2 linked regions of the Saccharomyces cerevisiae S288C genome follow. The protein of the gene in region 1 binds, or shares a complex with, the protein of each later gene. Each region holds a gene or a part of one and is shown on either strand. Other genes may lie near its edges. A codon is read from its position in the direction of its gene.

Region 1 (3,755 bases):
GCAGTGTCAGGGTATAGCTTTTCTTTTAGACACTAGAGTGCAGCTCGCGGAAGCCGATGCTGCCGGTCAGCTGAACATCACCTTGCTTAACAAGGTGTCAAAGAAAACATATGTACATCATTGCGACGTCTTGATGGTTTCTATTGGTAGACGTCCCCTGCTAAAAGGTTTAGATATTTCCAGCATTGGTCTAGACGAACGGGATTTTGTAGAAAATGTTGACGTACAAACCCAAAGTCTGCTAAAGTACCCTCATATTAAACCCATAGGAGACGTTACATTGGGCCCCATGCTGGCGCTGAAAGCGGAAGAACAAGCTATAAGGGCCATTCAATCAATAGGCTGTACAGGCTCCGACGGAACCTCGAATTGTGGCTTCCCACCAAATGTGCTGTACTGTCAGCCTCAGATTGGCTGGGTCGGATACACTGAGGAGGGGTTGGCAAAGGCTCGCATCCCATATCAAAAAGGCAGGGTTTTGTTCTCACAGAACGTTAGATATAACACGTTATTACCACGGGAAGAGAATACTACAGTTTCTCCTTTCATTAAAGTTCTGATAGATTCTCGTGACATGAAAATACTAGGCGTTCATATGATAAACGACGATGCAAATGAATTGCTGTCGCAAGCATCGATGGCGGTGTCGCTTGGCCTTACCGCCCATGATGTCTGTAAAGTACCGTTCCCTCATCCGAGCTTATCGGAATCGTTTAAGCAAGCCGTCCAGTTGGCAATGGCAAATGGAACATCACCTGGCGTACATGTCCGGGAATAGGCAAACGTTGCAGATCTCCTTTAACCCGGTTTTCACACCATATTCCTTGATAAGTCCGTAGCATATCTCGTCCAAATCTATCTGGTTAAATCTTTCTCCCCCCTTCCATAGCGCTATTGAAATTTTACTCATGGGCAGAAAACAGTTACGAGGTTTGCCTCTCTCACCGGGCATTGTAATGATGAAATTTATCTGCAATTTTATCGTCGTGAGTCTTCCTTCTCTAATAACTCTTTCCACAATTAATGAGTCACTATTATTCATTAGATAACACCTGGTTTTCCTTTTCAATAAATTAATCAAATTTTGGAAAATTCCAGTTTTTTTGGACTTGATCTTATCAAACTCATAAAGGCTTAATAGACACTTCTGGAAGTTACGTGTTGCCAGTAATTGCTTGGCCTTCAGTCTAACGTTTGTGGAAATTCGCAAGATTTCCCACTTCAGCAGTGTGGAATCTTCAAATTTATAGAACATTTTGAACTGAATTTCAAAAGGATTCATCGTGTTTCTGCAGAATTTATAATTGACCACCAAAACTTCAATCCCATCGTTATGTACTCTGTCTCTTGATTGCACAGAAACTTGAAGATGCGGGTATGTGTGGTCTCTCAAATAACTTAGCCGTAGATTCATATTTAACAAAGGTAACGTGTCGTATTTTGTTACTAGTTCCTTCTGCAAGTTAGTTAGCCCATTGATCCTCTCGACCCGCTTGCGGTCACTTATCGCCGAATTAGGATTAGAGGATGAGATCGAGATTAGATTAAGAAAATCCTGTGTGATATCGTTTTGGAGGATATCACCATTTTTAGTCTTACTGTTATTTTCCTTCATCAAGATATTTTGGTACGTCTGGATCTCTTGTAAAAGAGTATTTCTCCTTGTCAACAGCGCATCCTTCTCCTCCTGTAGCTTCAGTGCGCGTACCTGATCATCATCTAATAGCGATAGTTGTTGCTTCTCGTCCCCATCAATGTTTACATCTGCTTCACCAGCATGATGTGTACCCACAGCGTCTTCCAGACTTAAATGCGAATTCGATGTGTCGTGCGAATTCGTCGTATCAGACGTAAAATCCATATTTGCGTTCTTTGCCGACCTAGTATCAACAAGATCACACTAGCTCCAAGGTATATAGCTGTTTATATAAGTCTAAATTACGCGTTTCTGATTTTTCGGCGGACTCCAACTATTAGATAGTCACCATTACCGGTTACATTACCGGCCACATAGTAGAACGCCAGAGTATATATGCCGTGACCTTCACGGTTTGGATGTTAATGAGTAACTTGCACAGCTATTGGTATTTGGACTTCTTGGCACATTTTTCCCTGTACAGCTTTTCTTTTTTTCAATGTGCGAGGGCCCACGTGGCTTAATACAACACAGTGCAGTCGCAAGCACGTGCATGCGATTTTGAAAGCACAAGGCAGAAACGTGGAAACATACACACACGCACACACCCAACTTTCGAGTGGGTTTCATCCAGGAAGAACTTTTAAATAGAGGCCAGAGAGCGGCTTACATCAGACATCTTTTCTCGAACTTACTTCATCTTCTCAATATCGAGAGGGCCCATTGGCGGGTAATAATACGCATAAGAGTGATCTAATCCAAGTAGTACCTCCTTAGCGCTTTTTTTATTATCACTATAGGTCATTTGGCTATTAGAGCGAACAGCAGAATTTGTCCTTGGTTTTCAGAGTTTGAAAATGCTATTTGGTATTAAACTGGCTAACGACGTATATCCTCCCTGGAAGGATTCATATATCGACTATGAAAGGTTGAAGAAATTACTAAAGGAAAGCGTCATACATGATGGCCGTAGTTCCGTGGATAGTTGGTCCGAAAGGAATGAATCTGATTTTGTGGAGGCCTTGGATAAAGAACTAGAAAAGGTTTACACATTTCAAATTTCCAAATATAATGCTGTCTTGCGAAAATTAGATGATTTAGAGGAAAACACTAAATCAGCTGAAAAAATCCAAAAAATAAATTCTGAGCAGTTCAAAAACACCTTAGAAGAATGTCTAGATGAGGCTCAAAGATTGGATAACTTTGACAGGTTAAATTTTACTGGGTTTATCAAGATTGTGAAGAAACACGATAAATTACATCCAAACTATCCTTCTGTAAAGTCTCTTTTACAAGTCAGATTGAAAGAACTTCCTTTCAACAATTCAGAAGAGTATTCTCCCTTGTTGTATAGGATCTCATATCTGTACGAGTTCTTGAGATCAAATTATGATCATCCAAATACGGTGTCTAAATCATTAGCAAGTACTTCTAAATTATCACATTTTTCTAACCTTGAAGACGCAAGTTTTAAAAGCTACAAGTTTTGGGTTCATGATGATAATATAATGGAGGTTAAGGCTAGAATCTTAAGGCATCTACCTGCTTTGGTTTATGCGTCGGTTCCAAATGAAAATGACGATTTCGTCGATAATCTAGAATCAGATGTCCGCGTACAACCTGAAGCGCGCTTGAATATTGGTTCAAAGAGTAACAGCCTTTCTAGTGATGGTAATAGCAACCAAGATGTTGAAATTGGAAAATCAAAGAGCGTTATTTTCCCACAGTCATATGATCCAACAATCACTACATTATATTTCGACAACGATTTTTTTGATTTGTACAATAACAGATTGTTGAAAATCAGCGGTGCACCTACGCTGAGATTAAGATGGATCGGTAAACTGCTAGACAAACCTGACATATTTTTGGAAAAGAGAACTTTTACAGAAAATACCGAAACTGGTAATTCAAGTTTTGAAGAAATCAGATTGCAAATGAAAGCCAAATTCATCAACAATTTTATTTTTAAAAATGATCCCAGTTACAAAAACTATTTAATTAATCAACTAAGAGAAAGGGGTACTCAAAAGGAGGAACTGGAAAAACTTTCTAGAGACTTTGATAACATCCAAAACTTTATTGTTGAGGAGAAGTTGCAGCCAGTTTTGAGAGCTAC
Region 2 (3,592 bases), on another chromosome or scaffold:
CTTTTCAGCGTGCGAGAACCACGTTTTGGCAGTTATTGTTCACCACAGCGTCTCTTGCCTTCCCGATGGGCGTTGTTGTGGCAACACCATCCTCTTTGCTTACTGTAATCGGTAGACGACGTCCGTTCCTTCCTTGGTCTCATGAAGCTCTGGCGTATAAAAACGGCGATTGAATCTTCAATGTTCCTAAAGTTTCATTCCTTATCTCTCATTTTCTTCATTTTTTGTCTCTTGGCTTTTCGATCAAAAAAAGACTATCAATAGATACATTGGTTTCTGACCCCACCTCTGTCCCCTTACACTATCAAATTTCACTTTTTTACTTTTTTTTTTTTTGCAAAAGGCCTTGTCTCGAAACAGAAAGAAAAAAAATTCATTTAAAAAGGGAAATAAAAAATTGCTAATACAAAAACAGATCTTTTTGAGCCACACAACCCCGCGCAACGCACACAATTAGTTATTACAATGGAAGCACATAACCAATTTTTGAAGACTTTCCAAAAAGAACGTCATGATATGAAAGAAGCTGAAAAGGATGAAATCCTTTTGATGGAAAACAGCCGTAGATTCGTGATGTTCCCTATCAAATACCACGAAATCTGGGCTGCTTACAAGAAGGTTGAAGCCTCTTTCTGGACTGCGGAAGAAATCGAATTGGCTAAGGACACTGAAGATTTCCAAAAATTGACTGATGACCAGAAGACCTACATCGGTAACTTGTTAGCCTTGTCCATTTCTTCTGACAACCTTGTCAACAAGTACTTGATCGAAAACTTTTCTGCCCAATTGCAAAACCCTGAAGGTAAGAGTTTCTACGGGTTCCAGATTATGATGGAAAACATCTACTCTGAAGTTTACTCCATGATGGTTGATGCCTTCTTCAAGGACCCTAAGAACATCCCTCTATTCAAGGAAATTGCCAATTTGCCTGAAGTCAAGCATAAGGCTGCTTTCATCGAGAGATGGATTTCCAACGATGACAGCTTGTATGCTGAAAGACTAGTAGCATTTGCTGCAAAGGAAGGTATTTTCCAAGCTGGTAACTATGCTTCTATGTTCTGGTTGACTGACAAAAAGATTATGCCAGGTTTAGCAATGGCCAACAGAAACATCTGTAGAGACAGAGGTGCCTACACTGACTTTTCATGCTTGCTATTTGCCCATTTGAGAACCAAGCCAAACCCCAAGATCATTGAAAAAATCATTACCGAAGCCGTGGAAATTGAAAAGGAATACTACTCAAACTCTTTGCCAGTAGAAAAATTTGGTATGGATTTGAAGAGCATTCACACCTACATAGAATTTGTCGCTGACGGTCTATTACAAGGTTTCGGTAACGAAAAATACTACAACGCCGTCAACCCATTCGAATTCATGGAGGATGTCGCTACCGCTGGTAAGACCACCTTCTTTGAAAAGAAGGTTTCCGACTACCAAAAGGCCAGTGACATGTCTAAGTCCGCTACCCCATCCAAGGAAATTAACTTTGATGATGACTTCTAAGTCAACGACGGGGTGCGTTCTTTTATTCTTGGCCACTTTTATTTATATATATTTATATATACCTAGGTACAGTATAACTAAACTTAAGTAGAAAAATTTAAAAAGAAACTACAGTTTTTTTTTATATTTATTATGACAATATTTGCCATTTTCTTGTAGGTAGATAAGGGAAAGATTCAGAGAGTACCATCATCCCGGTCATTTCATTTAAATAACATATTTTTGTTACCCGGAGAGTCACAATACGGTCCACCCATTTGTTTACTACCTCGAAGTTAATACAGATAGAGGTACATAGCAACAATGGATGAGGTAACTTGCACCCTATGGACGAATAATTCAAGCGATACTAGTGCTACGTATACTGTATGGCAGCTGATAGAGATAATTTTTTACAAAATATTGAAAATGATTCAATTAACAATGGCCAGGCCATGGATCTGTCACCCAACCGAAGTTCCTCTGAAAGCGATAGCAGCATTCTCATGAATGTGAATGATATTAAAACTTTACGTCTGGACGTAGCACCAGAAGCTAAAAGCACCCAATCAAAGAAGTCGCTTTTTTATGAGAACTCTGATGATGCTGAAGAAGGAGAAATAGAAGAGCGCACGAACAAAGAAGAAGGACAATACCATCATAAAGGATCTAAACAACTTCGATTTGAGGTTGGCAAGGAAAGTACAGGTAAATTGCAATCTCATCTATCGGATGGAAGCGCAACAAGTGGAGAGGGCAATGTACGACCTTGGGAATTCAGGAAGGTAATACAAGCTGAGTATAGAGAAAGGTTGCCGCGCAATTATGAATTAAAGCATTGGAAAAAGCCTTCTAAAATAATGATAGGATCCATACTTCGTTTATTAGAGACTAACACTGTAAGCGCTCTTGATTCTGTCTTTGAGAAGTACGAAAAGGAAATGAACCAAATGACGCATGGCGATAATAATGAGGTTAAAAGAATATATTCTAAGAAGGAACGTTTGCTTGAAATAATCCTCACAAAGATAAAGAAGAAGCTAAGACAGGCCAAATTTCCCTCTAGGATATCGGAAAGAGATCTAGACATCGAGTATATTTATTCTAAGCGACAATTTATTCAAAACCGGTATTCACAAGAACTACAAAATAATGAGAGATTGGAAGCAATTCTTTCACGTGAACAAAACCTTTTGGAGGAAACTAGGAAGTTGTGCATGAATTTAAAAACAAACAACAAGAAACGACTCACTGAGAAGCTAATACAAAAAGATCTGCATCCAGTACTTAACAAAGCAATGGAATATACATATGGCTTAGAATCTACTAATGGATTTATGCATCCTGATGGCCCAGTAACTTTTAGAAATGATAGCCACGAATTGAACCTGATGTTGAACGACCCCATAAAAAGTACAGCCGATGTGAGGCTTGATAAGGAGGAAGTACTGTCGTTGTTACCTTCTTTGAAAGAATATACGAAGAAATCAAAGGAACTTAAGGAAACAATGGGTCAAATGATTTCGGATTCACATGAAGAAGAAATCAAAGAGGTTTTTGTACCGCACCATGAGTCGCACCAAGATAAGACCGAAGAAGATATACACTAGCGATAATCCATTGTTTCAGAGTTTACGATTACGATGCATATAACTAAATATTTGATATATAATCATGCACTATTAGCATCCGGGTTACGTAACTTCTCCGCCAACGAGCCTCAGAAAACCTTGGAGAGCCACAACAAATTATGAAAAACTGGAAAAAAAAAAAAATAAAGAAGGAAGGAAAGCTCAATTGGGAGGCACTTTCTTTACTTGAGATTTGCGTTTTTGTAAAGCAGTTCTTAAATCGGCATCTCTCATCGCATAGATCTTTAAGGAAGATATAGGTCATTCACTCGCGTTTTCTTCTATCTTTCTTTTTGTTCTTTCCAGAAGACGTTTCGATTATTTCCGAATTGATCTTGAAGGGGAAGCAATAATTAAATCTTTGAAAATTGATTTGATATAAAAACTGACATCCTCAGTCACGGAAGTAATTAAAGGAGTTCATTACATTGAAACAATATGAAGGGAAACTTTAGGAAAAGAGATAGCTCCACCAACTC

The links.
Region 2: the proteins of CTF19 (region 1) and OKP1 are in contact, whole or in part, in a cryo-EM structure (PDB 8OVX), measured with the Saccharomyces cerevisiae proteins. Residues at the interface, in NP_015307.1 of Saccharomyces cerevisiae: Glu246 (codon at 1,126), Lys249 (codon at 1,117), Ile250 (codon at 1,114), Lys253 (codon at 1,105), Phe300 (codon at 964), Leu316 (codon at 916), Pro317 (codon at 913), Met318 (codon at 910), Ser319 (codon at 907), Ile321 (codon at 901), Ser322 (codon at 898), Ile323 (codon at 895), Gln334 (codon at 862), Ile335 (codon at 859), Asp338 (codon at 850), Tyr342 (codon at 838), Leu344 (codon at 832), Ile345 (codon at 829), Lys346 (codon at 826), Glu347 (codon at 823), Tyr348 (codon at 820), Gly349 (codon at 817), Val350 (codon at 814), Thr352 (codon at 808), Glu356 (codon at 796), Asn359 (codon at 787), Asp365 (codon at 769), Met366 (codon at 766); in NP_011695.1 of Saccharomyces cerevisiae: Leu296 (codon at 2,757), His297 (codon at 2,760), Pro298 (codon at 2,763), Val299 (codon at 2,766), Leu300 (codon at 2,769), Asn301 (codon at 2,772), Lys302 (codon at 2,775), Gly321 (codon at 2,832), Pro322 (codon at 2,835), Thr324 (codon at 2,841), Phe325 (codon at 2,844), Asp328 (codon at 2,853), His330 (codon at 2,859), Glu331 (codon at 2,862), Leu332 (codon at 2,865), Asn333 (codon at 2,868), Leu334 (codon at 2,871), Met335 (codon at 2,874), Leu336 (codon at 2,877), Asn337 (codon at 2,880), Pro339 (codon at 2,886), Ile340 (codon at 2,889).

What each region holds. Positions count from the first base shown.
Region 1 is NC_001148.4:515,757-519,511, reverse strand, and holds CTF19 (Ctf19p), read right to left. Parts: upstream 1,862-3,755; coding exon 752-1,861; downstream 1-751. Other genes in the region: IRC15 (Irc15p), read left to right, coding at 1-778; VTC3 (vacuolar transporter chaperone), read left to right, coding at 2,494-3,755. UniProt on the Saccharomyces cerevisiae protein: Component of the kinetochore, a multiprotein complex that assembles on centromeric DNA and attaches chromosomes to spindle microtubules, mediating chromosome segregation and sister chromatid segregation during meiosis and mitosis.
Region 2 is NC_001139.9:853,175-856,766, reverse strand, and holds OKP1 (Okp1p), read left to right. Parts: upstream 1-1,871; coding exon 1,872-3,092; downstream 3,093-3,592. Other genes in the region: ribonucleotide-diphosphate reductase subunit RNR4, read left to right, coding at 466-1,503; PBP1 (Pbp1p), read left to right, coding at 3,552-3,592. UniProt on the Saccharomyces cerevisiae protein: Component of the kinetochore, a multiprotein complex that assembles on centromeric DNA and attaches chromosomes to spindle microtubules, mediating chromosome segregation and sister chromatid segregation during meiosis and mitosis.